Rhinolophus ferrumequinum: one gene and its partner. The protein of the gene in region 1 purifies or fractionates together with the protein of each later gene. This does not show direct contact. Links are inferred from orthologs where the notes say so. Each region holds a gene or a part of one and is shown on either strand. Other genes may lie near its edges.

Region 1 (14,802 bases):
TTTCTAATTTAGAAAACATAGACAGCATATTCTAATTTAGAAAACACTGTATTAAAGAACCGTAAAGATGTTGGCCATTTAAATGTTTAAGAAAACCAAATCAAGCAGAACAAAAAATTTCTGGCAGATACAGTTTAGACGTAGTAAGTAAAAGTGAAAATTTGCTGTTATTTTTTTTCCTAAATAAATTAATAAGAAAATAATTGCCCTTAACAGTTTCATACTGAAGTAACATCAGGTTTATCAGATACTTAAATTTTAGATCATTATCTCATTGAAAAGCTAATCTAGTTTTAATTATATCTATCAAATTTTGTATGTAAAAGGAAATATTGTAGTATGAATCTCTTCAACTATTCCCCTTCGCCTGCAGATAACAAATTGAACCTTATTTTATAATATTCCCCCTTTGCCTGCATATAATGAATATATATAAAATTAGAGGAATAATGAGGTACCATGTATACACTAGAGTAAGCCAAGATTAAAATGAAATGTTTCAATGAAAAACCTCTGTGAAGATAACTTTAGCCACAAGTGCAAAATAAAAACCATACCCATGGTTTCTTAGTATAAGTGATGAAAACTCTTGATCATACTGATAATTTTATTCAAGTCTTAATCTCCTTTCAACTACCCAAAATCAATTAGTAGTTCTATTTTAATAACCCCTCTTTAAATAGACCCAATTTGAACAGTAGGAGGAGTCATCTGGCTACTGTTGTAATAATTCCATCTTCTGGGAGTTATAGAAAGAAACTGTTGTCTGCTGTAATACACAAATAATCCACCTCATTTCCCTCCGGACAATGGAAATGTTCTCTGCAGAGCCCCAGCTGTAGCTAAGAAGGTGCAGGGGCTGCTAACCATTGTTTACCAAGTGACAATTCACTCAGCAGCTGACGGGCTGTTTGCCCTATTCTGCATGATGTTGCCACCTAAGATTATTACAGCCTGTTCTTTCACAGGCTGAATCAAGAATGGATGTAGAAAGTGGAACGTCGGGGAAGAACAGGAATGCTGTCCACTTTAACCCTTCGAAAAGAAAGGGAGGAGGAGCAGGGGCCAGAGGAGAGAAGGAGGAGCTGAAGCACTTCAGAACTGCTTGGTCTTACCTCACAGTGCCCTCTCTCTCTGGGCCACATTGAGAGCCTGGAATCCAGGCAGCCAAATTTAACACAAACATGTCAGAGCCTGAAACTCAAGAGAGGACCGCAAGTGAGGAACAGGATGGTAAGGTTGGTTTAGTGGTGATGCACTGCATCTTATAAAACCATAAAGACCTTCCCAATGATCTCCCTTAGGAAATCACTCCTCTCAAAGAGTCCAATCAATGTTACCTGCCCTTGTAGGTAGCACTGACTTCTTTTGTTTTAACCAAAAATAAGTCTTATGAAATAACCGAGAAAGCAGAGCAAAAAATAAATAAATAAATAAAAGCAGCAGCCCTTCCCTACACCAACCCTCAGCCATCCTACAAAAAGTCAGCACTCAGGAGTACACCATTTGGGAGCAAGGGCTGGGGGTGATGGGAGTGCCATCACCAGTAATGGGAAAAGCCTTTTCAAAACAGGCCTATAAACTCAAAGTGATTAGATCCTTCTGAAAAGCCTGTGGAAACAGAGAACATAATTAATATGTTGTTCACAATGAGCACTAAGGCTTGTCTGATTGTCTCAGAACACTTGAGCAAAACACAGCGGTGGCAGGCAGGATACACACCAGCCACATTCTGTGGAAGTCCTCTTCATTAAGAAACGTGCCTGGGTTTGGTTTGAGAAAAAAGCAAAGGACTTTGGGTAACTGAGCTCAACTGTTCACCTAAATTTCTGAATACTTCCAAATATATCCAAGTTCATCAGAGATAAAGGGCAAACAAACGAGTGCTTTTCTGTGCTTTATGCAAAATGCCCACTACTTGGATTGAGGAATTTTTGCATTTTTCATTGAGTCACCTTGATGCCCTTTGATGAAGGCAGAGAAGGAATAGAAAGTAGGGCCAGAGATGGCCCCATACTGCACTTCTCTGTTGACATTTGCTGTTTTTTAAAAAATACAGCAGTCTGGCTAAAAACCCAGAGAACTCCACTTGAATTTCCCGACCAATAAGACATTCTCCTATGGTTTTGCATGCCTTGTTTTTCTGCTCGATTACCCCTTGGCCATTCTAGTTTAGAAGGTATGACAGTCTTATACAGTAATGATGACAAAACTGTGAACGTTACACTAAACGTGCTCACAATCCTCCAGAATATATCAAAGTAAAATTTCTGGGCTCAGTCTCTTCTTGTTAGATAACATTTGAACAGAGGGATGCTCTATCCAATCGCCACAATACTGTGCAATATTCCCTAAGAAAGCAGTAGGTCAGGTCGACCCAGTGGGGTTGGAGCTCCGTGCTCGAACGCCAAAGTTGCAGGTTCAATTCCCACACAGGAGGTGAGCTGCGCCCTCTACAGCTAAGATTGTGAACAATGGCTCTCCCTGGAACTGGGCTGCTGTGAGCAGATGGATGTCGGCGTGAGCTGCCAAAGGCTGCTGTGTGCTGCCATGGGCTACCTACCATGTGCCACCGTGAGCGGCTGGTGGCCAGCGTGAGTGGCTGCCAGCTTGGCTGGCGAGAGCTGCAGTGATCTGCTGTGGGCGGCTGACCGGCAACCTGCGACCGACTGCCTGGGGGGGGAGGGAGGCGCAAGGCTCATGGTACCAGCATGGGTCAGGGAGCTGTGTCCCATACAACTAGACTGAGAAAGGGCAGCTTGAACCAGAGTGGGGGGTGGGGAGGGGAGGCGGAAAAAGGGTAAAAAAAAAAGAAAGCAGTAAGTCAAGAATGCACTTTCACCTACCATCTAAAAAAGTACCGCTAAGCAAAAAGATCAATAAAAAGAGAAGTTCTGACTTATAATGTACATGTTCTAAACACCACATGTGAGGGCATGCCTACAGCCTCTACCCCATGAGGTCATCTATGCTCCCCACCCAATTTTGCACAAGTGGCTGACCTTTAGAAAAGTCTACCAGGATTGTTGTTTCTTTCCCAAATCGAACTGTTTTAATTTAAGCTTTTGAATGACCAAACACATAACTCACACGTATATTTGTGATCGTTTATTTGTGATCATTCTTCTGGTCCCCTTCAGACCTCCTCTACCCATTTCTCTCTCCTGCTGTCAGAGGAATGGCTGGGAGATGGCCTCAGGCATAGTAAACAGTTGGCCATGACACTTGCTCCACAGGAAATGGCAACTGAACATTTCCCACAAATTAAACATTGCCAGTGATACTTATATGACCATTTGTACACAGGCTAGTGGAGAGATGTTCATTATGGCCCTTTCACCTAAAAAAAGAAAAACAGGCGCCCTAGGGAAGTTAAGCACTGGGGACATTTTGAGCTAATACGACTCTAAGGCAAGCAGCTTACTCTCAGAAAAGCAGCCTTGCTGGAAAGAGGTTGCAGCCTGGTGCAGTGAAAAGAGCAAAGGCTCTGGAGGCAGGGAACATGGAAGCTGTACCACTTATAAGCTGTATGACCTTGGGCAAGTCATTTACGTTTTCTGGGTCTCAGCATCCTTGTCTGTGAAATTGGGGTTATGATAAATATAACAACAATCATTCCCTATTTGTTGTGAAGATTCACTGAAATATCAAATTGACCAGATCAGCCTCCAGGGTCAGGCACCTATTTCATTCACTGAGAAACTAACAACATGAAAAGATAAAGCAAATAACCAGTTACCCAGAAATGAACCCTGAAATGATGTTGGACTGCTTACCTTAAGATCCAAGATGTAACGAGAAATATCTTTTCTCAAATAAAAAATTTTTTTTTTCTTCCTTAGCAGTCATGATTTGGATCAACATCAATCAGAAACAGTGGGTCATGGATTATGCTAAGAGTTGGGGTTACAAAACTGATCAAGATTATCTTTCTTGCTCTCAGGGAGTTTACCAAAGTGCTGCTTTCAGATAGAGTCCCACACAATATAGTTGCCCTTTCTCTTCAACACTTTTGAATTTCACTTTGTTGTCTATTATTACATAAGATTAGCAATGTACTATATACTAAATAGTAAATATATACTAAATACCCTGTTTCCCCGAAAATAAGACCTAGCCGAACAATCAGCTAGCTCTAATGCGTCTTTTGGAGCAAAAATTAATATAAGACCCAGTATTACATTATATTATATTATATTATATTATATTATATTATATTATATTATATTTATTATATATTATATTATACCGGGTCTTATAAGACCTGGTCTTATATTAATTTTTACTCTAAAAGACACATTAGAGCTGATTGTCTGGCTAGGTCTTATTTTCGGGAAAACACGCATCTCACTCCAAGTCCCAATCTATTCTCTTTTCTCTCTTTTCTCACGTTTCTCCTCTGTCCCACTGTTACCTTTCTATACAAGATAAAACATCTACTGGGCTCAGTTGGTCAGATAAAAGGTTTAGGAAACACTCAGCAGTTAACTGATTCCAGTTGAAACTGTGCACACCACCACCACTCACCATTAAAGCCCACACCCTTCGTCCCACCTACCAGAAACTGGGCCTCAATCAGGTAGGTTCAGCATTTGCTAACAAGTACACATCATAACACACTGATAAAGGAGAGCCACCCCAAATGGTTTGGGGGGGGATATATATTCTTAATAGAAACATAAATAGGTTTATACCACTGGAACTATTTACTAACCTGAGTATTACAATAAATTAAAACCGTTGCCCTCAATATAACCCCCCTTATTTTCTCTCAGGTCATCTTGTCTTGACTACCCCAACATTGGCTAAAACCCTCTGTTCTGCAGCGCCAGCCCTCCTCCTCCTCCGAGAAAAGATGGAGTCACATTGAGCGCCCGAAAGCTAACAAGACTCAGAGGCCATGGCTCGCAGGCCCTGCCGGGAAATACTGAGACCGGGTGGCAGAGGTTGCGATTCCCTCGAAAGTGCTGGCTGGCGTGTAGAGGGAATCAAGTGGCCTCTCCTGACTAGGAATAAACGGCTCGTGAACGCTTAGAGGCCTGAGCTTACAAACACTGTTGTCCCTAAACTAAACCTAGGCCACACTCAAAGGACCCCTGAACTTAAGGTTTATCATGGAAAGCTGCCTGTGCTTTCTGAACCCCGGAGGAAGACACAAGGCGCCTGGCTTTCGGTAAATGCGAGAAGCAGCAGGCTGGTGGGCACCATGGACCACCGCACACTCCGGAACTGACACACCTCCGTACGGAGCCGGGACCAGACCTTCTTGGCAGAAGATAACGCGCTCCCATAGGTGAGAGTGGGCACGTAAGGGGGGTCGGGGATCGATTGTGCATCCAAAACGTGATTATAACCACCTCTCCCCCAGCACGTCGACAAGGACAAAGGCCTCAGGCGAGAGAAGCAAAACTTTTAGAAACAAGAAAAGCTAAGTGGGTTGAGAATCTGCCCGGACCCACAGATCTTGTTGCTCCTTCCAAAACTTTTAGCTTAAGTTGCCAATGGCCAGTGTGTTCGGGAACAGGAAAATGAAAGGCAGAAAGGAGAAAGCACTTGTCAGGGCCAGGAAGGCGCGGCTCGTGGGTCCCTGCCCGCACCCAGCCCCTGAAGAGTCGCCTCCGGACACCCTCGGCAGCCGGCTGCTCACCTTGAGATAGTCGTTCTCCGAACGCAGCTCTTCCATCTCCCGCAGCAGTTCCTCTTCCTCCCCCGCCGGGACCTGCCGGGTCTGCTCCCCCGGGCCGACTTCCCTGGGGGTCCCGGGTGTCGCTCGTTCTGGGGGCGCGCGCCCCCCGGCATCCTCCGCTCCGCCCGGGCTGCTCCGACCTCCGAGGAAGGCTCCAGCGGCGGGAGGCGCGGTGAGGAGTGCGGGGTGCTCTGGGCTGCCTGGCGGCGCCCCTCGAGCTACAGGGCTCGTCGCGGGGGCTCCTCGCAGGGGTTCTCGGTCGCTGGAGCCCGTGCCGGACTCGGCGTCGCTGCTGGCAGCGGGGAGCAGACGCTGCTCGTCGGACAGAGGTTCCGAGGGGCAGTCCGAGAGGTCCGAGCTGCTGTCCGTGTGACTGATGCGCGAGCCAGGGGCAGGAAGGCTGCCCGAGGAGGTCACGGCGAGGATCACCGCTGGGACCGGGGCGGCGAGGGTCGGGGGACCGGCGGGGCGGGCTGGGGTCGCCCCGGAGCCTCGTTTGGCTTTGCGGCCGTTGGCTGCGATGGGCGGCGGCTCCGCCCCGACCAGAGGCGGAGGTTTCCCAGCCCGGGGCAGCGGCTCAGCGGGCCCTGCGCGCACTGCCTTCTTGGGGCCCGGAGCGACCTTGGCACCGCCAGCTGCCTTGGCCCCGGAGCCCGGCGGCGGCTTGTCCTTCGCTCCAGGGGTACCGCCGCTGCGCCTGGAGAGGCGGCCGGGCGCGGCCAAGGGCGCCGGCGAGGGCGGCGCCTTGCCCGCGAGGCTGGGCGAACGCGGGGCCGCGGACGCCGAGGATCGGCCGGAGGAGGTGGCGGCAGGGGCTGGGCTGGGCGCCGCTGGCCTGCCGTGCAGGTCCTTGAGGAATGGTCTGGCCGGCGAGGGTGCGCGGTGCAGCCGCCTCCGCTCCGCCAGGGGGTGAAGGTGGTGGCGGTAGTGTTGTCTGGGCTGCTGTGGTTTCGCGTCCGGGGCGCCACCGCCTGCGGGGCCATTCAGCGTCTCCATGGCCAGGGCCGGGACCGTGAGCAGCAGTTTGGGTGGAAGATGCTCCGCGTAGCGGCGGCAGTGTGCAATCTCCCCGCGCGCTCGCTCATCACTGTCCCCCAGTCCCGCCCGGTCTGCGCCCCGCGCTCCCGCGCTCCCGCGCTGCCGCCCGCCCTCCCCCCCCCGCACCCCTGGCCCCGAGGATCCCGCGGGGCTCGCTGTCGTCGTCGCCTCGCTCTCCCCTTGCTGAGGTCACAGCTGCCCGAGTTCTCCCGGCACAGCAGCGCAGCAGCTCCCTACCGCTCGCATCCCCTGGACGCTGCGCTCCAGGCTCGCGGGTGCGCTGCCGCGGCCTTGCACACCCGCACTCGTCCCGCGGCAGCGCTGGAGGCGCGCTCCCAGCTCCCGCGTCCTGCTCCCCGCCCACGGCCGGCCGGCGCTCAGCAGCGGGCGCCCGCTCCGGCCCGCGCCCGCTCCCGGCGGAGAGAAACTGCACGCGCTTTCCCCCGCCTCCCGGCGCCCTGCGCCGGGCCGCCGGGTGCGCATGTCCCGCCTGCTGCCAGCAGGCGCTGGTGGTGGGGGAGGGAGGGCAGAAGGGCGGGGCCTCGCTACCCCAGGCTCGCTCGCGGGCTGCGTCCCTCAGCCCTCACTGCCTTGGGACCCTCCCTGCCTTTTGAGTGCCCAGAGGCAGTACCAGGTGCTGGGAAGGGAGGGCAGTAGGAGAGGTGAAGTGGGGGTGGGGGGGAAGGGTGCGGGCACTGGCCACTTGGGGGAGACTGGAGGTCCGGGAGTCGTGGGTGGGCCTCCCTGTGGTGTGTACCTTAGAGCGCCGCTTTCCCTCGGCTGACCAACCAGAGGACCCTCAATCCAACCCCTGCCTCCCAGAGCCCGTTAGTTCCCGCCACTGGTGTCCTCTCAACGCTATGCCGGTAGTCTCTCCACACTCCATTAAGGATTGCTGGTACCTGATGCAGCTATCGCGTCAAAACAGACACACTGCTCCACAGTTGGCAGGCACCCTCAGTGGCCTCCAGAGCTCAGAGAAGGGGGAGCTGCTGCAGAAACGGGAGAAGCAGCTGGCCAAGCTTGGGGTCAGAAAGGGAACTCACATTTATAGTGCCAGCAGCGAGCCAGGCACTGTTAGACACTTCACAGGTATTGTTTTATTTCATCCTCATAACAAGCCCGAATTGGAATTATGACTTCTGTAAGGATGAGAACACAGGCGCAGGGAGGTGCAGTTGGTGCATTAGCCAGTACTGGACTGAGCCGGGATTCACACTCATGTCTGTGGAATTCTCAGTCCTACATGCGATCCCCTCAGAGAACCAGGAGCTTGAGTACTGTGTCTGCCACTTGAGAGTCTAATGTGGGCCACTGACCTCTTTGGGACTCAGTTTCCCTCACCTGTATGGTTAGAAAATACTGACACCTGAGTGTTTGTGGGATTAACTGAGCAAATATGAGATAACACTGTGTAAACTGTAAAGTACTTTTCAAATACCATTGAGCACAGTTTTAGTCCTAGGCATAAGATGTTGGGCAATACTTAAATGAATAAGGCACAGCTTGTTGACAAGACTCGGCTTTGCTGGGAAGCTAAGGAGCAAGTAGGGGCAGTACGTGAGATGACGCAGGAGGGTGGGTGGGACCACATTTTTTTGCTGCGGATTTTGGGTATTTTCACCAGGAGGGGTGGGGTAGACGCGTTGGAGGATCGGGAGCATGACTGAACTTATTTGCTTAGAAAGATTCCACTGGCGGCAGGAGCAAGGGAAACCGGTGAGGGGAGCTGTGGCAGTAAGCACAAATGAGGAGCAGTGGTAGAGAAAAGGGGACAAATCTGTGAAAAGGAAAAACAGACTTCAAACTCTGTGATCTTAACCACAAAGTACTCTACTTAGCCACCTGCTTCAAAAAAAACGCATGATAAAGTGATTTTTTAAAAACCTCCTGTAAGTCAGGAGAGCCATACTCCCAGAAGACATCCGGTCAGCTTTCTCCTCAAATCCCCAAGGAGATGCCAGCCGCGGTCCTGTGACTGAACTCTGAGGACACTGAAACTTCGGTGCCCTGCTGCTGTCTTACGTTTTTTGTGAGTGGTTAATCTGGCAATTCCTGTCATTGTGTGACAGCACACACAACATATAATCTGTACTAAATTTCCTTTGATGCAAGATCTAATAAGACCACAGCCATATTTCGGGAGATTTTGGAGAAAAAAAGATCCTGGTGATGACAACACTGCAGAAAGGCTTTAAAGGTACCAGCCACCATGCCTGTCGTGACCAGCTCTCCCCTAGAGGGCGCTCAAACTCTCCCCTTCCGGCGACTGTCAGTTAATCAGAAAAGTGATAGCTGTCAGTCCCCAGAGCAGGACTCGCTGGAATTCAAGCTCCAGAACCTTCACCTAGAACTTCCTCCAGACACTCAGAAGTCTCGAACACCCTCACATTTCTGAAGAATTATGTCCAGGACTCTTAGCACAAGCTTGCCAGCTCCTCAGACCGTAGGTAATCATGTAAAAGGCCATCTTAAAAATGTTTCTGTAAATTTGTCTTCCAAAAAATATGAGCCAGATGATCACACTATTTATAGCCAGCTTACCTTTCCCTAGTGTAATAAGTCAAACAAAATTTGTACTCCTAATTACCCTGGTACCTGTTTCTGCTCGCCCTTGGCAAGGAGGTGTGCAATAATGTTTTCCTTGTTTTCCAATATTCGGTGAGGTGGTAGAATCCAATATTTCTGTAGGTGGTAGAAAAACATACCTGCTTGCATAACAGATGTTTTCAAAGTCACATGTGACTTAAAAAATTTCTGTTGTTCAGTCAAGTTAGTCTAAAGGCATTACGGGGGTGATTATTTAAAGGAGCCTTAAAATGTTTTATTCTGGGAAACAACAAAATCCAGTGTGGTTGTGTCTGTTAGGGTTTGTCTGCCCTCAGACCCATTCCTCGCCCTTCCCTGACTGCACTCTGTAGAGAGAGGAACAACCCCTAAAGGTTGGTTTTTCAGGTTCCTGGGTTTGCTGATTGGGTTGAGCCAGTGGGAGGTGCTGTCAGGAGACTGGAGTGTGTAACAGCAAGGGAGAAACCAGGGTATTTCTTCTCTCTTTGCCCCAAGGGGCCACTTCAGAGTGGCTGGGTGTCCTTTATGAACTGGCTTATTGGAGTTCCAGCTTTCACTGAATGACCTACTTTCTCTGATAACTTCGCCTCTTCCTGCTGCCTCTCAGTCAAGGGTGGCAGTGGCTTCCTGTGGTTGCAGATCTCTGGGTTACTTCACTGCCCGGTTTGCCTCTTGACTCCTCCCTGACCCCTGTAACCAGTTCCCTGCTTTTTAAGTCCTGTGTTGTTCCAATTTTCTCATTCTTCTGCAGAAGCCTAAGTACAGGCCCAGGAACTGTACGCAGCAGCATTGGTTTAAGAAGTAATTTGCTATGACGTACATTCCTGACTTCCTTGTCAAAGAGCAGTGTGGTATGGTTACAGGTGCTGAGGCTTTGACACCAGGTAAATAAGGTATGGGTTCAAATCCTGCCTGAGTCACTTGTATTCTTCATGGCCTTAGGTAAGGTACTATTATCAATATCATCATTATTGTTTAATATCAGTGGAATAATCTTCAATACTCTTTAAAATGTGAGCAAACCAAACTTGGAGAGCGAGTTAGAAATCTAGTCTGTATCTATACATTTATATAAAGAGAAATGATTTTTATTGTTTTTACTTGGTTTGACTCATAGAGGGAAAAAATATGATTTAGGACTACACTTCCCTTACTGCTCTGTACTCACAGGCAAAATTTCTACAACCTCAAAACCTTGTCCAAACCTAAGCATATAGCTATTTTCCAGTTTTATTTCCCTTAGCACAAAAGCACATTTAGAATATAAAATCATTCCTGATTTAAATCATAAGAAATCGTCTTCTTTGAAAAGAGTAGAAAGGAGGTATTTTTTTAAGAGAGTGGGCAATTATTTTGGTGCTTCAGGAAAGTTAGGGGTTTAAAAGAGACAACCTGAAGTCAGATGGCCCTCCTGAGGTTGAAGCTGATATATCTCACCCTGGGGGTGGGTGGGTGCCTCCAGCTCCTCTGGCAGGGTTACTGCCAAAATGCCATATGGGACCTGAAGCAGGCCAGTCCTACAAGGACCCACTGACCCCTCCTCATACCCAGATTGGCAGCTGTGCAAGGTGGTAATGGTGGTGGTGACTTCAGAGGCTCTTAAACCTGCGTACCTTAAAATCACCTGGTTAACTTGGTAACAATGCAGGTTCTATGGCCACATCTTTACACACAAAACAAGAATAGCTTTATATGGAAAGCAAAAATAGAGCAATGGATTTATAGAAGGTTCCATAGCAGACAGTGCTTATGAAATAAGTTTCCTGATTAATTCAGGAGATAGGACACTGTATAAGATCACACCTAAAAATACATTTTAATTATTATTTCTATGTAAAATTACTGTCAAGAGAATTTTACCATTGAGAAGATAAAACAATGTTGGTTCTATGCCTAGTCACAATGATTATTCACTAACTTGGACAAAATAGTTCAGTCTTCCTGGGCCTTCGAGGCCTCATCTATAAAATCAGGGTGTTGAACTTAAATAAGCTTTAATGTACGTCCCAGCTTAATGAATCTGAGGGTTGAAGTGAACTTGCAAGTGCCATTTTAATTATCAACCTTGGATTATTCATAGTAAATTGTAGGTCATCTCTGTTCATTCTCTAACAAAATACACTCAAAGAATATAAACGAATGTCAACAGAAGAATAGTATAATTAAGAAGGTTAATATGACAGAATAAGTGTGATAAATGTTATACATATTCCTGATTACCCTATAGGGGCAGACTCTTGAGAGTTAATCATGTTTTTTAAGTGGTCCTCAGTATTACTGCTTAGAATAAGCCCATTTCCTAGTTGCCTCTTTAAATATTGCCCACAGGGTCTAAGAATTTGAGAGCAGAAAGAGGCCTTAGAAAGCATTTGCAGTCCTCTCATTTGTCACCCCTGATTTAGGAACTCCCATCACTGGTATCCACAGGTTGTTATTCTGAAGCAGTCCTCTCTTCTATAAGGACTGCTTTCGGGTGATCACATATTTTATCATCAAGACTACAGAATATTTGAATGAAAGGGGTTACTATTAATAATTACATGAGACAACAGGCATGAACTGGACCTGGACAGGCAGCTCGGACTGTATGGTCACCTATGATTAATGTACATTCCTCAAGGTAAGACTGTCTCCTGACTGGATCTGACTGACTCATGTTTATATTCACTAAAAAGACATGAACTCTTTTCATTTTCTTTAACTCTTTTAAGTATAATTGAAATAGAAAACTTAAAGAATATCCATAGCCTATTTATCTACTCATTCATTTATACACTCATTCATTTAAAGATTATTTATTTATTGAACACCTTCTAAAATACTAGGTTATATATAAATATTGGGCATAGCAGGGATGAAAAATGTGTGGCATCAGACTTTATAGGATTTATAAGCTCATATAAAAAATTTTACGAACTGGTTATTCAGTGTTTCATTATATTGTTTTTCTTAGCTATAATACTTGTAATCCATTGAGAATTACACTAATATAAATTCCTCATGTATTTTCTTTCCAGTGAAGTGTAAACTTCATTTTTGTTGAAGAGTGTATGCTAAATCAATGTTATGTTCTCAAACCACTTCTTGAGAAGAAGGTACTGATTTGAAATTGTATCGTTTCCTTCAGAATGAAGTGCAATACATATATACATATATATATATATACACATATACATATATATATGTATATGTATATATATATATATATATATATATATATATATATATAGAGAGAGAGAGAGAGAGAGAGAGAGAGAGAGAGAGAGAGAGGAAACAAAACCAAAGCTGCCCCTGATATCCAGAGCTGGCCTCCACTCTCACTGAGGCCTCCATGTTCCTAGGATCTGGCCTGGCTCTCAAAGCTAAGCCTTGGCATTCTCCTGTTAAACATAAACAGTGTCACAGAACCTCAACATCAGACAAAGAGGCCACTCTGGGACTGTGATGGATCAAGACAAAAACAAGGCCACTCCATAGTCATGTCTGAACACAGATAAAATACAAACATTTTCTAAACCTCAGAAATAAGCAAACATCTCTCTCTCCCAGCTAATTTGAATGACTGCTGCTTCTTATCCATTACAATTTTAGCCTGGCTCCCATCGTCCCACCTTTTAGATAAGATTTATTAAGATCCCCAGTCATAGAATTACCCCTTCACTGAACCCTCCCCAATATCATCTAACACAAGTCCAAATTCCTGTCCTTTCTAACACCCTCTTATTGAGCGCTCTCATGGTGTCATTCTCCCTCACTGTCACGAGCAGTATACCCAACTAACTCCACCAGAGGTGTGTGTGTTCCCGGTGTGATGATAATTATGACTGTCAGCATAAGGCAAGGACTCAGGATGAAACTGAGTATAGCATCCATTCTGTTTTGCACATATATGAACATGTGAAAGATAGTTTTTGTACTTAAATGGGTCTTATTTCTCCTTGAAAAAGACTACATAAATATTAAAAAAGCATTATTGATATATTTAAAGGCCATATGTCTCTGAGCAAATAAACCTGCTTAATACTTGCCTAGATCAAGCCTACTTTGGAGATGACGCTGAATAGAAAGTCTTTAGCTCCATAAATTGCTTTTGTTCTACAGTGAAGCAAGGACCTTATCTTTTGCACCAACACAATGCCATTTTATAATCTAGGATACAGCTTTCAGCTATTTCCTGCACGCCTAAGTCCTCTCTGCCACGCGAGGGAATTGGTGTTTATTTCTATTTTCTCTGTAGGATGCTTCTGACGTATAATTAGGGAGCTACTAATGTGAGTCTGGAAATGTATCAAGTAATGAAAAACGAAATAATCATAGAAGCATAGAAAGAGGAGATAAAATAAAAAGTCATTTCTTATTCAACATCCAAACGTTCTTTGTTTCATTAACACAGTATTTGAAGGATATAACTGTTTTCATCCCTAAAAAGATAAGTGAGATAAAATGGAATGGCCATCTCCAAAAGTATAATTGCAAGTGTTCTGGAAGGGTGTTGTCTAGGCTGATGGCCATCTTTCAAGGATGCTATAAAGATTCTTATCTGGGCAAAGGGTTCTTTCTCAACTCTCAATCGTCATATTCTTGCACTTCTCTATACAGTGCAACCTTCTCTAGTCCAGAGCCACAGGGCAGTACAGAAATCTGCACACAGTAGGTAGTTAGTGTATCTTTGCCTGTTACATAGCTAATATAACTCACCAATGGAACAAGTAGGTGTCAAGAAGAACACAGCGAGGAATTTGCAGAATTGGAGAGAGCTGCAAAAGCTGCCATTGTTACTATAGTTTTCCTTCAGGTCTTTATTCTGAAGGATGACAAGACTAATACCTGTGCCATTACCTTGCATCTTTAATGTTCCGCATACTGCTAACATTCCAACATATTGTGTCCTCATACAATCATAAAAGTTGCCTTTCTTTCCTTGTTCCTACTCTTAAAAGTTTCTACAAATGTATCAAGTTCAAGAGTTTTTTTGTTTTTGTTTTTGTTTTATTGGGGGCGAGGGGCATGACACATGGCACAGCAAGCAGGATTTGGTGTCGGCCAAAACTCTCTGTACGGCAATGGAGCAGTTTATACGTATGAAAGCTCAGTTTCAGAAGGCCCATGAGAAGCTGCGCTGGAACGGGAGGCACAGTCTGCCTGGGCCATGTGTCATGCAGGGTGTCACGTGGGGTCTCAGCTCCTGCTCCCCACATAAGAACGCAGGATATGGTGAAGCCAAAAAGGAACACCCACGAAGCCATAGATAGGGGAGTCATACCACTATATTCTCGCTGGCAGCCAGGCGAGACACACAAAGTAGGATCCACACGATCTGCAATCTGCCAGCCGCTTTTCTGCCTGCCAAGCAACCAGAGTCATCATGGCAGTTACATCAGCAGCCAGTTGGCCAACCAGCTACAGCCAATGGCCAACCCTAATATGCAGGGGCCGGAAGATGAGCATTTTACAACTAGTATGAGAGATCTGGTTTTGGATACTGCCCCTGCAAGTGCTTTTGGATCATT
Region 2 (14,823 bases), on another chromosome or scaffold:
ACACCCCTGAGGTGTGGTAGAAGGATGGGAGGCTGAGAGAGGAAAGCATCTCTGATGGGGTTGCAGCCTTGCTGTGTGTCCCCCACACAGGATCTGTTGGGAAAGGGGCACCCAGCTGACCTCCCCAAGGCAGCACAAGCGGGTGTGTTGACAGGTAAGGTGGCTCTGCTGCGCCCTGGTGCGCTTGTTTTCCCACCTCCCTAGAACCAGCTGCTTCAGCCCAGAGCCTTTACAGCGAATCTGCTCAGTCCTTCTCCCCTAATAGGAAAACCATTCCTCACAGAATGTACCAGCCTCCAGAGAAGGAAGCAGAGCAGGCCTTTTGGCCTCCCCAAAACCAATGTCGATGTCTCAGACTTCGACCCCACACCTAGGAGGCCTGAGAAATAGGAGTAGCAGGGGGGCGGGGCTGGGCTGACCACCCGTGGGCTCAAATTCCACAAATATGAATGGAGGCCCCGTGGGTAAGTTCTGCTAGGAACTGCAGAATGCAGACAGGACACCAGCCCTGGTCTCCACTGTGGGTCACCCCACATTGTGCCCATTATATGGGTGAGGAAACTGAGACCGCGAGATGAAGCAGGTGACTTGCCTGCCATTCCAGAGCTGGTAAAGGAGCAGAGAGAGGGAGGCCAAGCCCAAGTCTGCCTGACTCCAGAGCTGTCTCCTGCACTGCATGGCCTGTTTCGGCTTTAGGAAGACCGTGACATCTTTCTGTGACAGTCCAGGCACCCATAGGTTCATGGGGCAGGGTGGCCGTGGACTCAGGTGGGAGACTGGGAAGGTAATTCAGAATGACAAATTCTCAGCATACTCCCATCCTGCTCCAGCACTCTGATGATGGTACTCAGTTCACTCACTGTCCCAATTTCCAGAGTCCCCCCGGGCCGTGGAACCTGCTGGGATCATGCCCTGTGCCTAGCAGTGCCAACTGGATAGGCTCACTGCACATGTGGAAGGGTGATCATCTCACCTGTCCCAGGTGGGAACCAAGCTGAGGGCTTTGAGGGTGGATGGAATCTAGCTCCTCACCTGCCCCTTTTCTCCAGAAGTTGGCTCCTGGGCCCCTGGGTAGGCCATGCCTGCTGGGCCTGGCCTCCCTTAGTGACCTGTGACCCTGGCTCCAGCCAGGCTCGGTATTTGGAGGCTCCAAAAGCAGTGACTGGTACAATTATATCCATATGGGGTTGGGCCACACTCGGGGGCAGGGCATTGGGGCGGGGGGAGGCTTCTGTCCAGACATTGCCCTGTCCCCTCACTGCCTCTCCCCAACCTGGGGCAAGTCCTCTTGTCCACCATAGCACCCACATCTTCCTAGGTGAGTGGTTTGTCTCAGAGACTCACCCATAGCCCTCCAAGGTCAGAACTGGGGTTGAGACAGTTGTACATCGACAGGTGTTCAGAGCTCAAGCTGAAGAGGCCACACCAACCTGGGCCCACAGCTGTGAGCTGGGTGATATGCACGCACTGCTCCAGGCCTTGGGAATGCAGCTGTGAACGAGACAGAGTCCTGCTCCCTCAGCACCCCCATCCAGGGGAGACACAGCAGACAAGGTTCTGATATGGCCAGCAGGGGTGAGTACTGGGAAGAAAAACGGCATGATGGAGGGGCGCGAGTTTTTCCTTTTTCTTTTCTTTTGTTCTTTTTTTTTGATCACGGATATTTCCAGACACACCCAAAAGAAGAGAGAGAATGGCATAATGAAGCCTTATGTACCCAGCTTCAACAGAGGTGGTCAATTTTGGTTTATCTTCATCTCCCCACGTCTCCGTCCCTTCTGGGTTATTGTAAAGCAAATCCCAGACATGTCATTTCATCTGTAAATAGATCTGTTGGTATCACTGAGAGATTCAGACTCTGTTCGTGTCATTATCACACTTTAAAAATCAATAATGCCTTAATGTCATCTATATATAGTCAGTGTTCATATTCCCTAACTGGTCCATGAATATCTTAAAATTTTTAATTGTGATAAAACACACATAACATAAAATTTACCATCTTAACCACTTTCAAGCGTGCAGCTAAGTCATACGTACATTCACGTTGTGCAACCAATCTCCAGAACTCTTCAGGAATATCTTTTTTTTTCCTTAAAGATTTTATTGGGGAAGGGAAACAGGACTTTATTGGAGAACAGTGTGTACTTCCAGGACTTTTGTCCAAGTCAAGTTGTCCTTTCAATCCCAGTTGTGGAGGGTGCCGTTCAGCTTCAAGTTGTTGTCCTTTCAGTCTTAGTTGTGGAGGGTGCAGCTCAGCTCCAGGTCCAGTTGCCATTGCTAGTTGCAGGGGGCACAGCCCACTATCCCTTGTGGGAGTCGAACCAGCAACCTTGTGGTTGACAGCCGGCGCTCCAAACAACTGAGCCATCCGGGAGGCAGCTCAGCTCGAGGTGCCGAGCCGGCGCTCCAAACAACTGAGCCATCCGGGAGGCAGCTCAGCTCGAGGTGCCGAGGTGCGGTGTTCAATCTTAGTTGCAGGGGGCGGGGCCCACCATCCCTTGCGGGACTCGAGGACCTTGGCAACCTTGTGGTTGAGAGCCCACTGGCCCATGTGGGAATCGAACCGGCAGCCTTCGGAGTTAGGAGCATGGAGCTCCAACCACCTGAGACACCCGGCCGGTCCATGAATAGCTTTATAGCCCACTTGTTTGAATCAGGATCTAATGAGGTCCACTCTTGCATTTAGTTAATATGTTTCAACTTGTAACAGCCTATCTTTCCTCTTTTTTTTTCCTTCTTTTTCCTTGTTTAAGAACACAATGACGTGTCCTGTAGACATAATTTCCTCCGTTCTGGATTTGGCTGATCGCATCCGCCTCATACCATCAGCGTGTTCATCCATGGGGGGGGTGCAATGTTGAAAGGGGGGCTGGAGAAGGTTTCCTCGGGAGCAGACATCTACGCAGAGAGAGCCACGCAGTTAAATAAGGAAAGGGGGAGTTCCAGGCAGAGGGGACAAGGAGGGACAAAGCCCTGTGGCTTTCTTTCCCCAGGGATTCACAGCCTGCTACACGCCAGGCACTGTTGGAGGCACCAAGGACACCATCGGGAACCAGAATACTATGTCCCTGCTCTCCTTGGGACTGGAGACCTCAGTCACTGCCCTCCAGGGGCAGATGGCAGTGAGGAAGGCGGAGTATCCCCCCGCAGATAGCCTGCCTGCCGGCTCTGGGAGCTCCTGTACAGCTTTGGGTACATGGGGACATCATCTTGGCACACTGGTGAGTTATTGCCCGGCCTGCCCTCCACCTCTTCCAGGAAGCCAGTTAGAGCCCTGGATGCCAGCTGGTACCGACTGCCCTCTGCCAACTCCAAGTCGGGGGCTGCTGTTGGCCCGTCTGACATCCCCCCAGATGGGAATTCCCTGAGGGCTGGCCTCCTTCATGCCTCCATGGGTTGCTCCCATTACTGCCAGTCCTTCCTTGTAGCCCTTTGCTTATCCTGGGGATCAGACTCAGCATCACCTCCTCTGAGAAGCCTTCCTTGCTGCTCCCTCCATCTAGTTCCCATGCTCCCACAGGTCCCAGATCACCTCCTTTGGGTATCTTCCTCTGAGCCCCATTAAAAACTGCCCACTTATGCTTCTCATAGAGCCTCTGCCAACATGGCAGCCCGGCTTTCCATCCAGGATGTTTGGCCTTCTCAGTAATGGAGGTGGCAGTACCTGCCTGTGGACAGTGACCCAGTGTGGGAGTTTAGGTTGGTACAAAGGACATACCGTCCCAGGAAAACAGACTCTGAAGGTGCCCTGCCGTCCTTGTACCCTTTCTTCTCCCCATCCCTTCCCCAGGTTGGTGCAGTAGTCTCCTTGGACAGTCAGACCTTCCTACTGTACTGTAGGAACATATGAGCAAGGCTGGAAGGGACACTGTCCCCTCCATCCCAGACATGGGGCCAGGTCATGGATGAGGAAGGGTGAGACAGGCGTTGTTGCTGGGTTAGGATTTTGGAGAGTGTCTTAGTCCATTCAGGCTGCTATTACAAAATACCATAGACTCATGGCTTATCAACAACAGAAATTTCTTTCTCATAGTTCTGGAGGCTGGGAAGTCCAAGATCAAGGCGCTGGCAGATTCAGTGTCTGGTGAGGGCCCTCTTCCTGGTGTATAGAAGGCAGTCTTCCTATTGTGTCCACACATGATGGAAGGGGCAAGCAAGGGAGCTCTGTGAGGTTGCTTTTCTAAAAGCACTAATTCCGTTATGCCCATTAAGTCATATGGAGTCCTTGAGACCTAATCACCCCCAAAGGCCCCACCTCCTAATGCCATCACTTGGGGAATTAGGATCTCAACATGAATCTTGAGGGGATACACATTCAATCTATAGCATTATAGAAGACCCCATAGAGAGCAAAGAGTCCAGCTCCCCCTCATTGTACAGACAAGGGACCTGAAGCCCCAAGGGGGGAAGGGAATTACCTAATGGCTTATGTGATCCATTAGGGACAGAGCTGAGACCAGAATGGGCTCTCTTACTTCTGATCCACTGCTGTTCAGGGAAATGGAGTGGATATAGCAGAAAGCCTTAAAGGAAGACTGGGAGGCTGGGTAGAGTAGGCTAATAACAGCAGCCCACACTGAGCGCTGGCCATCCATCAGACTCGAAGTATGTTTCATATATTAACTCATTATAGCCTTGCAAATTATCCCCATTTGACAGTTGGGAAAATTAAGGTGGACAGAGGTTCAGAGGCTCGCCTAAGATCACGGAGCTAGTAAGAGGCAGCCTGGCTGGAGGCCCGTGGATAACGTTTGGTAGCCCCTTGTCACTGCCCGACTTCCCGCCTCTCACGGGTTCATTCCCCTATGCCCACTCCCCTAGCAGAGTGCCGAGCGTCTCTATTCTTTGCTTTCCTTGTCAGTAGACCGGGGGTAATAACTGCCTCCTGCTCACTGTAACTGATGATGTCTACACAGCTCGCAACTGCACGTGTGTTAGCAAAACCAGGAAGGGGAATGAGACCGGCAGTTCCTGTCCTTGTGGTGGTTGGGGAGGGAACACCGATAACAAACGTATTCTAGTCTATCAGTTCTAAGATGCACGTTTTTTCGCACTCTAGCATCTCTGGAACGTTCTAAATTCAAGACGGTATATGGCGATGGTGACAAAGCGCATGATGGAAATTCAGAGATGCCAAAAAAAAAAATAAGGCAAAGCTCCTCGAGACGGGAAGGTCTCTGACAAGTGAGAGGGCAGGAGTGGGTCTTGGCCCTCCTTGATCAGAGGCCAATTCTGGACCATTCACCCACCCCCTGGAGTGGCCTGTCCAGCATGAGCATTACTCCAACTCCACTGGTTGGGAGGGGAAAGATTGAGAAGAGTTTCGATGTTTCAGAGGGGAGAGAATAAGGATGTCTTTCTCTCCAGCATCCCTGCCTCCCTTTGCTTCTTTCCTCCCTTCCTGCCCACAAGGGTGGGTGGGGGGGGGGGGTGGGGTAGATTGCTACCCTCAGGCCCCTTCGCTGTGCTGGAGCTGGGAATCCCATAGCTCTGCCTTCCACGGTTCCAGTGGGCATCACAGCTGCCCTGGACCACTGGTCATGTTGGTTCCTTTCTACCTGGTCTGGAGCTGCGGTAGATGCCTTTATTTTTGTCTCTGTTTTGTTTTCAGTTGTTCAGGTTGGAAAGCTTGGAATTATCTTTAACTCCTCTCTCTCACAGCCCTCCAAACTAATCCATCAAAAAATCCTGTTGGCTCTACCTTCTGCATATAACTCAAATCCGACCCCTTCCCCTGCTGCTGCCCTCTCCAAGCCACTGTCATCTCACACTTGAATTATCGGAAAAGCCTCCTTCCTGGATTCCAGGCTTCTGCTCCTTCACTCTATTCTCAGCCCAGCAGCCAGTCAGATCACGTCACTGCAGAGACTCCCTATCTGACTCTCAGGGAATGCCACAGCAGTGGCCCTCCAGGCCTGGCCCCATATCACCTTTCTGCCCTCTACGCCTACTACTCTCCCCCTCGCTCACTCTGCTCCAGTCTCATTGGCCGCCTGATTCTTTAATGAGCCAGGCCCGCTCCTGCCTCAGGGCCCTTGCACTGGCTATACCCTCTTCCTGGAATGCTCTTCCTCCATATCTGCAGGGCTCACTCCCTCACCTCTTTCAAGTTTTTGCTCACATGTCACCTTCTCAGGGAGGCCTATATTGACCACCTTAATACTGCAATTTCTTTTCCACCCCTACACCCCAACAATTCTGATCCCCCTTATAGCTGCCTCTATATTTTTCCCATGGCATTTAATACTTACTATTTTGTTTGTTGTCTGTTTTTCCCACTTGAGATGTAAATTCTCCGAGGGTGGAGATCTTTGTCTATTTTGTTCACTGATATACCTAAAGAGCCTAGAACAGGGCCTTGCACATAGTAGGTGCTCAACAGAGATTTGTGGATGAATGAATTTGTAAATTAGAAAGGGGTAAATGTGTGGCAACATATAATTAATCTTTGAAGAGAACTAGGAGGTTTCAGGAATTTGAGAAGGTGATACTCGAACTGGATCTTTAAGTACACCTGGAAGCCTAGGTAGGTGGCTGGCTAATTGATCAACCTGAACAAAAAGCATGGAGGTGGCAGAGCTTGGTGGCAGGGCAGGAGCTGGGGGGAGGTGTCAACCAGTGATACCTAGCTGGAGAGGATATTAGCAAGATAAGTAGAGGCCAGATATGCAAAGCTTTGGATGCAGGCTAAAGGCTTTCCTACCTCCAGGAGCAGCTACAAAATTTGTGGGACCCAGTGCACGATGAAGATGCAGGACCCTTTTGGTAAAAATTTCAAGAGAGTGACAGCAGAGCATTAAATCAAGCGCAAGGCCCTTCTAAAAGTAGGCTCATGAAGCCAATCCTGCCTCTCCTACAAGGGAGCCTGTGAGAGCCTTCAAGAAAGACAGAGATGTAATTGGAGCTGGACTTTAGGAAGATTATTCTGGTGGGGTAGGTTGGAGGGAGTCTAGGCTGAGAGACCAGTTAGGCAGCCTTGTGTGGAGGGAGAGAGGAAGAGGAGGAGACAGGTGGGGTGGGGGTGGGGCTAAGAGGCAGAAGGCTGGGGTGAGAATGTGAATGAGTAGAAGCAGGGAGGTGGTAGAGTTTCTTTAGGCAGGAGCATGGGTCGGAGAAGACCCGAGTGCACCTTCCTTTGCTACTCCAACCCCTTCCTCTTTTCCCTTCTTTCCAGACCTAAGCCTTAGGAGTGAGATCCGCCACGAATCGGCAATGTGTCTCTCTTTGGCCACCAGAGGGCAGATCATTCTCATGGATTTTCAGGATTAATTTGGGGTGGGGGGTGTGGAATGGCCTCTGTCCTCACGTCTTCCTCCCTATCTCCCTAACCTCCTTCAGCGATTCTTCACCAAGTTCTTCCTCAATGGCTGAGTGCCTGAATGGAGCTGGTGCAGGGCATGGGGAGGTGTTCTGGAGTCCAGTGTATTTACTACAACTGTAGAGAGTACCTGTTGCCTTAGGAAGTACTTTCATACCACCCTCTCATTGCATCTGTCCGGCTCTGTATTTCTCTGGTTCACTTGGCCACGGGCTCTCTGCTCAAGATGCTATCGCTGGGAGTTAGAAGTCAAGTGTCAGAAGTCCAACCAGCACTTTTCCCCTCAATCCCTGGGGCCTCTCTGCTCCTGTACCTTTGGGGACTTGGTTGAACCGGGTCTCTGGCTCCTGTGGGAACCCTGGCTTCTGCCCACCTTAAGCTGTACTTGAGCCCTGGGGCAGGGGCAGGAAGGCAAGTTCCAACATGTCTGGAGTAAGATGGATGGGACAGCTTGGAGCCAGAGGAATCAGATCAGCCTACTGCTTTTCCCTGCTGAGACAATTTAGGGGGAAGTGAAGATTGGACCCAGGTTGCCAAATGGACTGTTGGATCAGAGGCTCTCCAAGGATGAGAGGGAACTCAGAGCGGACGAGTCCAAAGACCTCAGTTTATTGCTAGGGGAACTGAGTCCCGGGGAAGGAAAGGAACTTCTCCAGGTGCCCATTCTTTGTGCCACCCTGAGGAATTCTCATTGGCAACCAATGTCTGTTTTCCACGAGTTTCTTTGTCTTAGAAGGGATAACTCAAATGTGAATTAAGATGAGAACGTCTTTCCTGCCTTAGTTTGCAAGAATATTTTAAAAAGTACCTGGGAGGACTCAATATTACCGTGGTGTGATGTTGTTTTGTGCTATTTTGAACAATTAAGACTTTTTTTGGGGAAAAAAGGCAACTAGAATTAAAAGCTGTTATTTAGAATCTCATCACTGGAACAAAGGCATTGACTCGTTCAATACAGGGACATCTCGGAGCCTAAGCTCATGTGATGACGTTATGTGATTTTTCCAAGATCACACAGCATTTTCGTTCCACACACCGGGACCAGAATGCAGGGCTCAGGAGACCTTTGCAGTTGGGAACCACGGGCGCAGCCCTGGTGCTTGCCTGGGAGCTTGACAAGAAGCCAAGACAGACGGTGGCAAGTGATGAATAGTAGATGGACAGGTAATAGAGTAATGCTACATTTGACAGATGACACATTTTGATAGACAGTTTGGATGATAAACGAGATGGACTTTATGAGCTGACCGACAACGAACAGACACGCAGGTGGGAAGTTGGTTTAGAACCAAAGGATGCCAATGGCAGGGACGGCTAACGGCCTTATTTTCTATTTAGTTAAAGAATAACACGCTACCTGTTCAAGGTTTGAAAATATCCGAAATCTGACGGAAAGAAACGAAGTCAGACTCGGTACCACCCGAGGGAATGACCCGGGACTCGCCCGGCCTCGGGTGTTGCCGGAAATGGCCGACGATTGCCGTCGGCTGCGGGACTGGGCGGGGCGGGGGCGTGGCCGGCTCCCCGCACGCGGAGCGGCTTCGGGTGTTTCCGGAAACTGCCGAGAACCAGCTTGAAGTGGGCGGGGAAAGGCCTGTGGGCGGGGCTGGAGTACCCGTAGTCGCTTCGTGTATTTCCGAAAACAGAGCCGAAGCTTGGTCTTCACAATCGAGGAGGCGCGCGCATCCCTGGAGGTTACCTTCTTCGGGTGTTTCTGGAATTCAACCCATAGTCGGTGGCCAGGAGGAGGAGGCGCGGCCCCCTCCCGTTCCTGGCCGCTTCGGATATTTCCGGCTGCTGCCGGCGGAAAGAGCCGAGGGCCGGCGGTGGTGGCGGCCATGTTGGGAGCAGCAGGTCCGGCGGCGGCTGCCTGTGTGCCGGGCGCGGAGCAGTGCCGCTGAGGGCAGGGGAGGAGCGAGGCAGGCGGCCGGCTGCGGCGGCAGAGAGTAGGCGGAGCGGCGCGGCCCGGCCGAAAGGCGGCACAGCCCAGCCGGGGGTCGGGGGGGTGCGGTCCGGAGCCGCTCGGAGCCGGCGCGGCCTAGCCCGAGCGGCGCATCCCCGGGCTGGCGTGAGCGGCTGCCCGGCCTCCCCGCACCCCCGGCCGGGGCCCATGCGGCGGGTGCCCCTGCTGTGAGAAACCCCGCCCGGCCGGGCTCCGCGCCTTCCCTTCCCTCCCTTCCTCCAAGCTTCTCGGTTCCCTCCCCTGAGATACCGGCGCCATGTCCAGCGCCCGGACCCCCCTACCCACGCTGAACGAGAGGGACACGGAGCAGGTAAGGAGCCCCGATGGCTCCCCGAATTCTCTGGCTGGGCCCCTGCACCTTGCAGAGCCTCCTCCCTCTCTGCTCTCCTCGTGCCCCTGCTGCTATCCTGCAAGCCTCGGCTTCCCTGTCATCGGGCTCTCGGCTCCGCACATCCTCCTCCGAGTCCTGTCCTAGGACCCACCTCGTCCTGACTCCACGCTGCACACTTGTCTTTCTGCTGGCCCCCCCTTCTCCCTTTACCGCCCTCCCGCGCTCTTCCGTGTTACCTCCCCAGCTTCCCCTTCTCTTCCCTTTTTCTCTCGGGCCTTTCTGGTCTTCCTCCACCCACGCTTCAAGCAGCCACCCTCCTCCTCAAATAGTACCCAGCGATTTGCCCCAGATGGTTGTCCACGTCTTCTTACATCTCTTTACCCTTTTCTCCTCCGCCCGCACCGGTTCTCCCAGTCCCTGGTCATCACCCTCAGGGTCCTTGCCCCGGACTGTGTTCTCGGTCTCTGTTCCCTTCCAGTTCCCCAGCTTTTTTTACCCTGCTTGTTCCTTCTCCAAATTGTGTTCTCCCTCTTGCTTGCAACCCACCAGCTCCACCCTCATCACCTTTCCAAATCGTTCGCCTACTCTTTGCTCATCACTTTCCCTTCTTTTCAACAGGAGCTCCCTGGTGCCTCGCGCTGGCATTTGTTGCTTCCGTGTTTCCCATACAGCTGTCATGCGCATAGTTTTCCCACAGGTTGTCTTTGGGGTTCCAGCCTTCACTCCCTTCAGTCTTTGCATCCTTCATGTTCTCTTCCCCTGGCTTTGTCTTTTAAGTCTCTTGGCCTTCTGTTTGTCACTGTGAGTGCTTTGCCAGCCTTCTCCCTGGGCTTTTCCTACTAAGGGAAACACACTACTATTTCTTCCCACTCCATTATCACAACCTGTTGCTGGGTCCTTTCCCAGGTCTCGCTACATCACCCTCCTTGCCTGTCTTCTTACACTGCAACGCAAACCATGATGCCTGCTTGTCTGTCCACTCCTGGGTCTGTCACTTTTCATAGTATCTTCCTCCTTGCTTGTTCCCTTCTGATTTCTCTACCCCATCTTCCTTACTGTGCCTCTTAATCAGGATTGCCTCTCAGCTCCATATTAGTCTCCCGTCTTCTTCACGTCGTATTTATTTTCCCCCATATGCCCCTATCCATTCCCTTCCTATTGACTAGTCTTTGTAACTTCCCATCCAGGCATTTTGCATGCGAGCTTCTCAGTCCCCCTCATCTTAACAAATCACTGCTATGGTTTGGCACCCAAGCCTAAGCCTTTTTTATGTCATCTCACCTCTGAACTGAGAGACGTCCACCTTCCACCCCTCCCCTTTCTTTCACCATCTCCAGTGTCCCTTGCTGACTGCTTTGTGGAGTGTTCCCTGCCTGTCACACCCTCCTTGGTGGAGAACTTTACTAGGCCAAAAAAACTTAACTTGAGAAAGGAGCCCTTCTCCCCTGGGGCTGCAGTGCTTTTTTGCATCCTTTTACCTCATTATATCCTTTATGTTTTCCTCTTGTTCCTTTTGTATCTTTGTAGCCCAATGGAACTGTTGCTATATTCGCTTGCATGTTAACATCCTTCTCTGAAAAATCTTCCCTCTTTCCATCATTCCTAAGTTTTCCTTTTTTATTACTCCCCCCTGCCCCCCTTGCTTTCTGTCACCTGGGCAGTCAGGAACTCAGGAGGAGTTCTGGACTGAGTGTTTCTGTGCAGTGGTTGACCCTTTCGTTACTGATGGGTTGATTGCTTCTGGAAGTGAAGCCGGGGTTGAGAGGGAGGGAGGGATGATTTCCATTGTGTCCCCGGGTTTGGGTGCTGGTTCTGCATGGGCTGGGACTGAGGGCTTCACAAACGGGAGCGCCTCGCTCTCCAGCTGTTTCTCTCCTGACTGAGAACCACTTTCTCTAGGCCCTCTTGAGGTTGCCTGTTCCATTTCTTTTCCTATCACAACCTTTGTTTTAGCAGGTAAACCCTGCTTAACCAGAGAACTTTTCCCAGACTGCTGATTATGAGCTGGTAGGAGGAGGCCAAGGGACTGACTGGCTGGCACCTTGCTGCATTTGGGGAGTGGCAGTGGATGCCTGCTCCCCGCGAGGCTGTGGGGGGCATTGTGTTGAGCAGAGTAGAGTAACAGACCGCCTCAATGTGGTTCCTTTGTGCTGTCTGCTAAATGTAAATGTATTCTTGCCATGGTCTTTTCTAGTGATGTGCGTGTTGATTTCTTCTCTCCCTACATGCCTAGCATACTGCTGAGCATGGTGGGAACTCGGCACACACCCACTGGTTTTATGATGGCCGGAATCAGTGAACCATTTGGGAGTGGAAGCTGTTCTTTGATAACTTTGTCCGGAGCCGTGGCTGCATGCAGTGCCATCCCGTTCCAAATTATGAATTATCCCATTTCTGCTCTTGATGAACTTAAGTTCTCCTGAACCACTTCCTAGCTTCTGCTCTTCTCATGGTAGCCAGTCTCACTATTGACTTGATATTAAGTCTCATCCTAGTAAAAGCGTGGACTTTGGGAAACCTCGGATACACCTATTACAGTCAGGTGCCTGTATGTTTAAAAACAAGAAGAAAGACAAGTAGCATCTCCTTGGGTCCCAAGACCAGGGATGCCGGAAGCATCACTTCCTTTAGAATTGATCATGCCCTCAGATGAGAGAGCAAAAACAGCTCTTCTGTTGGGATTCTAACTAAGTAGTCCTGGAAGCTCAGTCATTGCAGCAAGCCTTTATGCTATGAAACAAAAAGCAGAAAAGCAAGGGATTTGGTTGGGCTGATTCCTGCCCCCCCAGAGGTCCTCTATCACCTTATTTAGATTTAAATTATTTAAATTGGTGTCACTGGAAAATAGATAAACAAACCCCACTGGTTGTCTTCAAGCTCCAGTCTCCTTTTGCTCTTCCTCTCCTCCAGTCTTTAAAACATGTGGCTGATGAGAAGCTGTTTCCAGGAGCTCTTTGATCACATCTGAACTAAACACACACAAACATACAAAGAAAATGTTGAAGCATAAAAGTAAACCTTGTGTTGTTGCAGGGGGGTTGCCTGTTTGCTATGGACTCTGCTTCTGACAGTGAAAGTAGGAGATAAAAGAAAGTCAGCTCTGTCTTTAAGATGATTTTTGTGACACCTGGTTTCAGATGTGCTTTATCACAGCCAGACTCTTCTTCCCTCTTCCTTTTGCAGAAGGAAGATTGTAACCAGGGGCTGGTAGTTTGGGGGATTCTTAATCTGTGAGCTGAGCTTTCTGTTCACTTTTCCAAATGGCTCTTCTGGCCTGGAGGCTTGGCAGTGGGGAGTTGCAATCAGCAAGATGACTGTTTTCCAGCCAGCAGCAGCAAATAGGCAAATGTGGAAAGGGATCCAACTTCGAGAGTTTACCTGCCGCTGCCTACAGCTGTCTGTAACACCTGGTAGAGGGGCTACATGGCTTCAGGCCTGCCCCATGTCTGGCCTAAGGAGCCATCAGAAAGGGCTCCCAAGAGAAAACAGGAGCCTTTCATAACCCCCCCCACACACACACACACTTCTGCTACAGTGGGCTAGGGAGGGCGTTGCTGTCATTCTTCTGGCAAGTGAGTGCCATTGTTCATTCTCTCAGCTAGATCTGGGAAGAGGAGTTTGGATGTCTGGGTGAAGAGGAAATCTAACATATAGGATCCTGTAAAGAACAACTGAGCCACTCCAAACACATGTATCGCTTGGCTCCCAGGGTTGGTTCTGGCTGAATGTAGGACTGCATAATTGGTTTTAGTGTCATCTCGTGAAGAGCTCGGTTAACTCTCATTTCTCTCCATGCCCTGTGAGTTGTGCGGCACCGGGCTCTGGGTGCTGCTGACTCTGACCTCTGCCCTTTGGCTCTGGCCAGGGGCTCCTTATTGGTGCTGCCTTCTGGTCAAGAATGTGGCTGAATATCAGACCATATACAGTGGTACCTCTGTTTTCGAACGTACTCCGTTCCAGAAGACCGTTCGGGTTCTGAAACGTCCGAAAACAGCCGACAGCTAGGCCTCAGGATCTTGCACTCAGCAGAAGCCGCGTGACATGTTCGACTTCCGAGGCATGTTCAAAAACCGAAGCATTTATTTCTGGGTTTGCGGTGTTCCTAAACTGAAATGTTCGTCAACGGAGACGTTCGAAAACCGAGGTACTATTGTATTCTCATTTTCTGCTTGGCTCTAGAAATCAGGAATGAGATATTATTAGAGTAAGGGCTTTAGGAGTACCTGGAGTTCACAGAATTGCCATACCATGACCTTTGAACCCCAGTAAAGGTAACTGCCGAGTAAATTGTAATAATTTCTCAGTAATCTGTGGATTTGGGGAAGGAGTTAAACAGATGGATACACGGCAGTCATTGAAACGTGGCCTGCCTCAGATTAAAATCAAGTTTGCATAGAGATAACTGAATTTTTCCAATGGTGACCAAAGATTGGGCCTGAGATTTTTTTTTTCAGTGTAAATGTCTTAAGCAGAGTTGATGCCTGTGAGGCAGGAAAAGGTTGAGAATTTGTCTGACTGCGAGGCTGGTGTGGTTAGGTCTCTTGGGAGTCGAAGGCTTCTCAGACTAGACTTCTTCCCTTTTGAACAGAACAACCCAATTGTCAGTAGCCCCTTGACCAGTACAAACCCATGCCTTCAGGAATTCTTCCCATTGAGCACTTAGCCACCTGGCTGGCTACTCCCTCCTCCCAGGAGCTTCCGTGACTTTCCTACATATATATTACGTCGACTTGAATGAATATTTTATGCCCAGAGTGCAGCCAGGCCTCAGACTTTGTGGCCCATTATCGACAAGCGGGATGGGGGCTGGGCGCCACCTTTGGCCCCCTGATTGCGTCTCCGCTTAAATGGACTCCCCAGCAGCACTTTGAAGCCCATTAATGGATTGGGGTGAAGTAACCTCAGCAGATGGAAAGGGCAAAGAGGGTGGTGGTCCTTCCTTCCCTGAGACTGCCTGATGAGGCTTTCCTGTGGAAGCCAGGCCCAGCCCCAAGCCCCTCTGCTTGGTTAAGCTGTAGACAGACTATGGCTACTAGGCCTCTGCTTTGAGAGGAGGTGTGGAGAGTGTTTCATTTTCTCTTAGCTGTGGTGGTGCTGCCAGGTTTGCCACTTGCCTGTCAAAGCAAAAATTGAGAGGGATGTGGACGGGGTGGGTGGAGTTTAAACCTGGCCCTTTCTCCTTCAGCGGAAGTTCAGCAAAATGACAAA

What was found.
Region 2: the proteins of MTCL1 (region 1) and MARK2 purify together in Homo sapiens (affinity purification with mass spectrometry; 5 studies listed by BioGRID and IntAct, with this or other methods). This does not show direct contact. The link is inferred for Rhinolophus ferrumequinum from reciprocal best matches to the Homo sapiens genes MTCL1 and MARK2.

Annotation. Positions count from the first base shown.
Region 1 is NC_046302.1:9,198,106-9,212,907, forward strand, and holds the start of MTCL1 (microtubule cross-linking factor 1), read right to left. Parts: upstream 6,817-14,802; 5' UTR 6,683-6,816; coding exon 5,648-6,682; intron 1-5,647. UniProt on the Homo sapiens protein: Microtubule-associated factor involved in the late phase of epithelial polarization and microtubule dynamics regulation.
Region 2 is NC_046294.1:7,481,577-7,496,399, reverse strand, and holds the start of MARK2 (serine/threonine-protein kinase MARK2), read left to right. Parts: upstream 1-9,461; 5' UTR 9,462-9,540; coding exon 9,541-9,594; intron 9,595-14,823. UniProt on the Homo sapiens protein: Serine/threonine-protein kinase. Involved in cell polarity and microtubule dynamics regulation. Phosphorylates CRTC2/TORC2, DCX, HDAC7, KIF13B, MAP2, MAP4 and RAB11FIP2. Phosphorylates the microtubule-associated protein MAPT/TAU.